Linked DNA regions of Macaca fascicularis. Each later gene encodes a partner of the first gene's protein in a complex. Links are inferred from orthologs where the notes say so. Each region holds a gene or a part of one and is shown in the gene's direction. Other genes may lie near its edges.

Evidence for each region.
Region 2: TAF4 (region 1) and TADA2B share a complex: the UniProt entries of both Homo sapiens proteins name them as parts of the TFTC-HAT complex. The link is inferred for Macaca fascicularis from reciprocal best matches to the Homo sapiens genes TAF4 and TADA2B.

Annotation. Positions count from the first base shown.
Region 1 is NC_088384.1:118,023,502-118,026,544, reverse strand, and holds the end of TAF4 (transcription initiation factor TFIID subunit 4), read left to right. Parts: intron 1-596; coding exon 597-764; 3' UTR 765-2,406; downstream 2,407-3,043. UniProt on the Homo sapiens protein: The TFIID basal transcription factor complex plays a major role in the initiation of RNA polymerase II (Pol II)-dependent transcription.
Region 2 is NC_088379.1:6,047,159-6,051,581, reverse strand, and holds the start of TADA2B (transcriptional adapter 2-beta), read left to right. Parts: upstream 1-1,461; 5' UTR 1,462-1,462; coding exon 1,463-1,987; intron 1,988-4,423. Other genes in the region: CFAP184 (cilia- and flagella-associated protein 184), read right to left, coding at 1-1,085. UniProt on the Homo sapiens protein: Coactivates PAX5-dependent transcription together with either SMARCA4 or GCN5L2.

The DNA of each region.
Region 1 (3,043 bases):
GCAGCTCGGGAGGCACCTGGTCACCTAGAGGGGCTGATGGAGGCAGGGTCTGTGCAGCAGGGCCCAGCCAGAGGCCCAGGGATCACTGTGGGAGCCACTGAGCAACTCAGCCTTCGCAGCTGACCTAGCATGCCCAGTCCCAGCCGACCCCAGCCCTCCCAGTGCGGGAATTCAGCAGCCAAGCAGGATGACACACAGGGACCCAGTGTGGCTTTTGTACCCCAGCTGAGTCCACATGCAGTCCAGCTGTGGTTGCATGGAGGGTGGCCCTGGGGCCGCTCAGACATTTGCCTTGGGTGGGTGCCACCCCCTGGTCCATCCTCAGCCCCAGGAGCAGGTCTGAGCACTGTGGGGCATTGGGCAGTGTCTGAGTGTGCCCTGTCCTGAAGGCGCAGCATGAGGCCTCCTGCCCTTGCCCCTGCCCTGGCAGGGCCCTGGGACAGCACCTCAGCTCCAGCTGTGGGCCTACCGGAGGGAGCCCATGCCAGGCCTGGCCTCCTCTGGAATCGGGGTACTTGGTTCAGACACACAGGCCCCCATTTCAAGCCCCACTCTGGGCCCCACTAACACCCTGTCTTCTCCGTTTTTGTCACCAGGGGTCGGGCCCCGGCTCGGTGGTCCCAGGCAGCTCGGGGGTCGGAGCCCCCAGACAGTTCACGCGACAAAGAATCACGCGGGTCAACCTCAGGGACCTCATATTTTGTTTAGAAAATGAACGTGAGACAAGCCATTCACTGCTGCTCTACAAAGCATTCCTTAAGTGACACAGGAGGACGCCTGGGGACTTTTTATATATTTGCAGATTACGCCTTTTTGTAACAAGCAAATGGGATATTGTTTAAAAAACAGCCACCTCTTTACGATGGAACAGTTTTATATTTTCCTGTTTCTAAATCAACTCTTCAGTGTGAAAGAAAATACGTGTCTGTAACAGAGAGAACACAAAGGCCTGTGGATACTCTTAAAGGACAATTAAATCTTAACTCATCTTGATTGAGTGGCCTTCTTGCCAAACAAGCCATATATAAAGACTGATGGAATCGTTAGCAAATAATTAGCTGCCCTCTGTCAACTCATAGCAGTTTCTGCATTATTTGTGCATTTTGGTTTAGTTCTACCTAACTTACTGTGTAGGTGTATGTCTACAGCCGATGACCTCATTTTATTTTATTTTTGTAATAGTCAGTTAGCAAAGCAAACTGATTTTTTAGACTATTTATCTTCCTTCCCCTCCCCTCTCCCCCTACCCTCCTCTCCCCCTCACCCTCCTCTCTCCCTCATCCTCCTCTCTCCCCACCCTCCTCTCTCCCCACCCTCCTCTCTTCCCCGCTCCCCTCCCCTCTCCTCCCTCCCCTCTTCTCCCCTTCCCTCTTCTCCCCCTTCCCTCTTCTCCCCCTTCCCTCTTCTCCCCCTTCCCTCTTCTCCCCTCCCCTCTCCCCCTCCCCTCTTCTCCCCTTCCCTCTTCTCCCCTCCCCTCTCCCCGTCTCCCCTCTTCCCCCCCCCGCCTCCCCTCTCCCCCAGCCCTCCCCTCTCCCCCCAGCCCTCCCCTCGTCTCCCTTCCCCTCCGCTCCGCTGAGAATCCTGGAGGAATATACAATTCATCGTAGCACCCCCACCTCAGAGTGTAATCGAATTTCTGCTTGGTAGAGGCGGGGCCCAGCAAAGGTGGGCTCCTTCTGAATGTGTGGTCAGCATCTGTACAAATGCATTTTATTTGCTATAGTTTGTAAAGCTGTAAAGTTAAAAGAGATGAAAACCTTTTCAGCATAAATATATTTTACTTGCACTGTGTTTTTTAGCTAAAAGTGAAAACCTAGATTAAATAAAATCAAAGTTGAGAAGAATCATCAAAAGACTGTTTCTCGGTGTGAATCAAGTGTTGAAAAATGGTTGGTGTATTTTGTCAGTAATTGTACATAACTTTTGGCACATGACATAGAAATGGCTATGTAAACTATAATTATTTTGCTAAGAGACTGTATGCAAGCCTTGGGCCGACTTTACAGACGTCCAGAGCAAAGCCCCTTCTTTGTACCTATTTTTTTATTACAAATATACTAATTGGTTCTTTCTATTTTCAGAGGTTATTGTATGAAATTGTCTATTGATAGTACTTTTATGACTGTAAATACTCCGGCTTTCTCCGTGTGAATTCTCACATTAGACTTTAATTCAAGCGCGTGTGAACTGAACGCTGATCAGTATTTTTTATCAACACCTGAGAACTGTTACACCTTTTATTTTGTCTTTTAGGAAATCCCTGTCTTTCCATTTTTTCATGTAAATTTTGCACAGTTACTTGTTCATATGTAAATATTTTACTTTCAAAAATGAAGTTTTTAATTGCTATTGTTTTATATAGGATTGAAAGAAAATTAACTCCTTTATTAAAAACAAATTTATCTGTATTTGTTTTGCCTATTTTTCCCCCGTTTTCCAGTTTTAGATTCTGCTGCCAGATTGCACTCTGGCTCTGCTGAGGCACTGGTTTCTGAGCCACCTGTTGGAATCTGTAGCTGAGCCCCAGCAGAGCTGGGAGAAAGAACTTTCTCTGTGAGGACAGGGGCTGAGCCGCCCTGTGCGTGGAGTCCGGGGGCTGGAGACTGCGCTTACATCTTCTGCTCTCACAGGTGGAGATGAGCTGGGCACAGCTAGGAGGGGCGGGGGGAGGCCCAGCGCAGGGGGAGATGCACACAGAAACGCGGCTGAGGTGCCCAGAGGGCCCCAGCCCTGACGCAGACCTCCTGTGGCGAGAGAAGGCGTCTCCAGGGCAGTTTGTGGTACAGGTTGGCCCTGACAGGTTGCAGCTCCTGCTGGGCCCTCAGAGACTCAGCGCCAATGTGTACCGCACCACTCCCTGCCTTTGAGCACCTTGGAGAGCCTTTGGGAGCGGTCTCTGATGCGACTGGAGTCAGTCCCCCGTCATGACATTCACTCCACCTGGTGTGACGGAGCCACAGCGATAATACAGGTTTACTTACAAGTGCTGCTGGAGACACTGCCGCTGTTCCCACACCTGTTGCACTGCCCCACTGGGGCTGCC
Region 2 (4,423 bases), on another chromosome or scaffold:
ACCTCTCGCAGAGCAGCCTGGCGCCCGCCCCTCATCCGACAGCTGCCCATGGCCTGCATCACCACCTGCTTCTTGAGTGCCTGGAAGCGCCGCCACTCCTTCTCCACTCTTGAGAGCTTCTCCTGGCACTGCTGCTTCAACTGGCCCAGCTCCTGGTGGTACCACTGCAGGTCGTCTGCCTGCTGCTTCTTCAGGTCCTCCAGCATGCCCAGATGGCGCAGGTACGCTTGCTCTTTCTCGGGGGCCTCTGCTTGTGCGCCCCGGTCAGGCACCTCCGCCGCCTCCAGGCCCTTCTTTTTGCGCAGCGCCTCGAAGATCTTGTGCTGCAGGTACAGGTTGTAGCGCTGGGAGCGGTTCCGCTCCATCAGCAGGGAACGGTACTGGTCCAGGAGGTCGCTGCGCAGCTGCTGCTCCTGTAGCTTCTGGACCTCCTCGGACCACTCCAGGTCCTCAAACTCGTCCCTTCCACCGAGGGGCTTCCCCTCTTCCTGGCTTTTGGCCGGGCGTCCTTCCCCAGCCCTCCCCTCGCTCTCCGCGCTGTCTCTCCGTGTCTCCTCCTCGTCCTCCTCCTCCCCCTCCACCCGCTCTGTCTCGGCCTCCGGGGCTGCAGCAGCCTCTTCCTCGCCGATCCTGGTCAGCGGCAGAGAGGCCTGGGACCGGACTTCCTTGCCCTCCGCCGCCTGCTCCAGCTCCTCCGCCCTCGCCTCCGCATCTAGTTCCTCGGGCCCGGCTCCGGACTTCGGCTGGACGGGCTCCTCAGCCCCGGCCTCGGCCGGCTCTTCGGGTTCGGGCTGGGGCTTGGCCGGCCTCCCCGGCTCTCCAGGCCCCTCCTCGCCCGCAGCCTCGGCTGCCGTTAGCTCTTTCGGGGCCTTGGCCTGCTCGTCCGCGGCTGTGCCTCCCTGCGAAGCCTCCTCTTCCTCCTCCTCCTCCTCCTCCTCCTCCTCTGGCTCCGACTCCAGCTCCCCGGGTTCGGGAGGGGTCGGAGGGCCGGAGCTGGCCTTGATCTTGGACGGCCGCGCGGCCAGGCTTTCCCCGTCTCCGCCTTCCCCGCCGGGGTCCTTAGTGTGCTCAGACCCGCCCTCCATCTCCGCCCGGCTCTGCCAGCGCAGCGGACCCCGGCAGCATGCTGTTAGGTTTCCCGGGGCAACCGAGGGCGCGCGCGCTGGGCCCGGCGATTGGCCAGGCGACAGGCCGTCGTCCAGCCTCTTCTCCCCGGAGAGCAAGCCAATGGGAGGCCGCGAGCTGGCGATAGGCGAGATTGATTGGAAGCGGCCGTGGGCTCTCGCCGCGAGGGGCGTGGCGTCCCCGCCGGGCTTTCTGCCTGCCCATTTCCCACCGCTGGGCCTGGGGCGGGGCGTTCAGGAGGCTCTGGGAAAGGCGGCGGCGGCCGGCGCGGGGTGCGCGCAGGCGCAGAGCGGTGGGCCGGGCGTCCGCAAGGTGGCGCCCGCGGGGCGCCTGCGCGATGCGGCGGGGCGACAGCGGCCGCGGTGGCGGCTGCCGGGCCGGGCCGGACGGCGCCTGCGTACTGAGGCGGGACGCGGCCCGGCTGGCTGGCTCCGGCGGCTGCTGGGCTGGGGCCGCGGTGGCGGCAGCCGCGGCGACGGGCGGCGGTTGCTTGTGCGCGGCGGCGGCGGCGGGTCCCGCGGGTGGCGGGGCGCTGACGGCCGGGGGCGCGGCGGCTGCGGCGGGCCGGGCGGCGGGCGGCGAGCAGGGGAAGATGGCGGAGCTGGGGAAGAAGTACTGCGTGTACTGCCTGGCCGAGGTGAGCCCGCTGCGCTTCCGCTGCACCGAGTGCCAGGACATCGAGCTGTGCCCCGAGTGCTTTTCGGCCGGCGCCGAGATCGGCCACCACCGCCGCTACCACGGCTACCAGCTGGTGGACGGCGGGCGCTTCACGCTCTGGGGGCCCGAGGCCGAGGGCGGCTGGACCAGTCGCGAGGAGCAGCTGCTGCTGGACGCCATCGAGCAGTTCGGCTTCGGAAACTGGGTGAGCAGCGCGACAGGGGCCGGGTCCCGGCTAGGGCACAGGAAGGCCCGCGCCTCTCCTGTATCGGGCGCGCAGGCAGCACTGGACCTGCTCGCTCCGCTCGGCACCCCGGAAGGCCCCGGAGGTGGGGAGGGCGACGCTGCCGGTTTATAGTCGGGCACCTGTCGGAACCTATGCTCAGAGAGGCTGTGACGCGCCCAAGGTCACAAAGCCGAGACGGGGCCAAGTGGGGCTTTGAACGCTGGTTTCTGACAGCAGAGCCATTTCCCTCACCTTCAGGGACACCTTCACAGGCGTTTGCGGAGTGCAGACGTTGGGCGAGACGCGGTGCCTTACCTGAGTTCGTGGAGTCAGGCAGGCCCACAGACTCGACAGAAAGCGGTGGGAGCACCAGGGAGGGAGAACGGTGGGCGCCCTGCGGCTTGTCTCGGGGTCTCTGGGGCGGCCCCGTTTGCTTTCTGTCATTGTATGCATGTGCCCTGTGTGGTGTGCCAGTGCACAGATTCTTTGTGGGTAGCGTGCCTGGTTAATGCTTGGGTCTCCACAACCCACGACATTGTGCGAGTGGTCAGTAAAGAATGAACAAAGAGGCCTGGCCTGGGAGGCCTGGGGCTTGGGTTTTGCTCTCTTTACGTTTGAGGTTTTTGTAGAGACAGCTCTGTGTGGGGAGCGGTGAGAGCTGGACTGGATCCACTTACGCTAGCAACATCGTGTGCTAGGTTCTGTCCTTGAGAGAGGAACATGGTTGTTCTCTCTGGGCGGTTTCTCAGCTCTCCTTTCATTCTGGAAGCTTGCATCCGTGTTAGAAAGGAGAAAATCTCTAGCCGTATTCCCACTCATAACCACCAAAGGCATGTGGCCATCCCCAGGCACCCTGAGAAGGAGGGGAGTGAGACACCCCAGCGCCCTTAGCTTTGCAGAGTCTTCCCCTGCTACACCAGGTGCCTGCTTCTCGGAACAGCGTCCATCTGCTGCCACGTCTCCAGCAGTCCTGCCTGGGCTGCTTTGATTGCCTTTTGCTTTCCTTTCCTGAAAGAGTCTCAGGACCGCCTCATATACCCATTCTGAAGCCCTGGAATCTTGATTCTCCTCCCAGCTCCTTAGAGAAGATGGTCCTTTACAAATCCTTACCTAATGGCCACCAGCATTGGGATCGCCATTTTTCAGAAACTCTGGCCCATCTTGTCCTTCCATGCTGTTTGTGGATATGCACTGAGCTTGTGTTCCGTGCAGATTCTACAGTGGCGGAGGACTCTGAAGGAAAGAGAAGCTTTTATCCCTCCATTCAGGGAGCTTAAAGTGTGGTACTGACTTGGTCCTGGGCCCAGAGCTCCTCCCTAGCAACAGCCATCCATGTCCAGCCACCTCCCTGTCCTATCTGCCTCTTAGTGTCCTCTTGACTTACTCCTTAGTTCCTTGTTCCACTAAGTTCCTGATCCAGTTTATCAGCTGTCTCCTCACAGTACATCCAGAACAAACTACTTCTTACAGCCGTAGTCCCGGCTGATGTTTACTTCTTGCCTTGACCACTTTGGGAGCCTCCTTGTTCGTTATTCCCCCTGCACCCTATTCCCCCATTCCACACACCATAACCAGAGCGAGCTTTGGAAGCACAGAGCGCCTCACACTGGCCTCAGTGGCTTTTACTTCAGTTAAGGCTGCCTTAGAAGTGTTGAGCAATGAGATCTCATCTGTTACCTCCCTTGATCATTTTATATTTCTTCTACCTAGAGTGCTCTCCCCCAAAATCATGGCCCAGGATCGATCTTTCCACTTACATATCAGTGCCTCAAAGGGCTCTTCCCTTCACCATCCCAGCAATTATCTCTATGTTAGCAGCTAAGGAGGCGCAGAGCCTTGCTGGCATATCTTCGCGTATCTCAGGACATTTTCCCGACAGCCCTTGGCAGTTGGCTTTGGATGGACCAGTTTGACTTCAGAGCCTGTACTCTTAACTACACTGTCTGCACTGCCTTCCCTGCGGCACTGTGGAACATACACAGAACACAATACCTGGGGAACAAAAACATTTATTTGGTTTTGGAAGAAACCAGGCTAGAAGTGGAGAGGCCTGTCTTCTAAAACAATACTTTCCGAACTAATGTGCACACAGACCACCTGGGGAGCTGGTGAAAATGCAGATTCTGACTCAGCTGTTAGAGGAGACAGAGCCAGGAGAGGAAGGGCATGGGGCTTGGGCTTGGGCTTGGTGCACAGGGGGCCTGGCCAGGCTGCGGTCAGGGCGTTCTCCCACGGCACCAGCGCCAGGCCACGGCGAGGCCTGAGAGCCTGCATTGCAGCCAGGGCGCAGGGGGTGCGCTGGCCCGTGACCCCCGCCCCCTCCCCCGGAGTGGTGAGGTACCAGTATTCAGTCATGCTGCCATCTCCCTGGCAGAGCCTCGTTGTGCTAACCCCTGGGACTTTATTTTTCTTCCT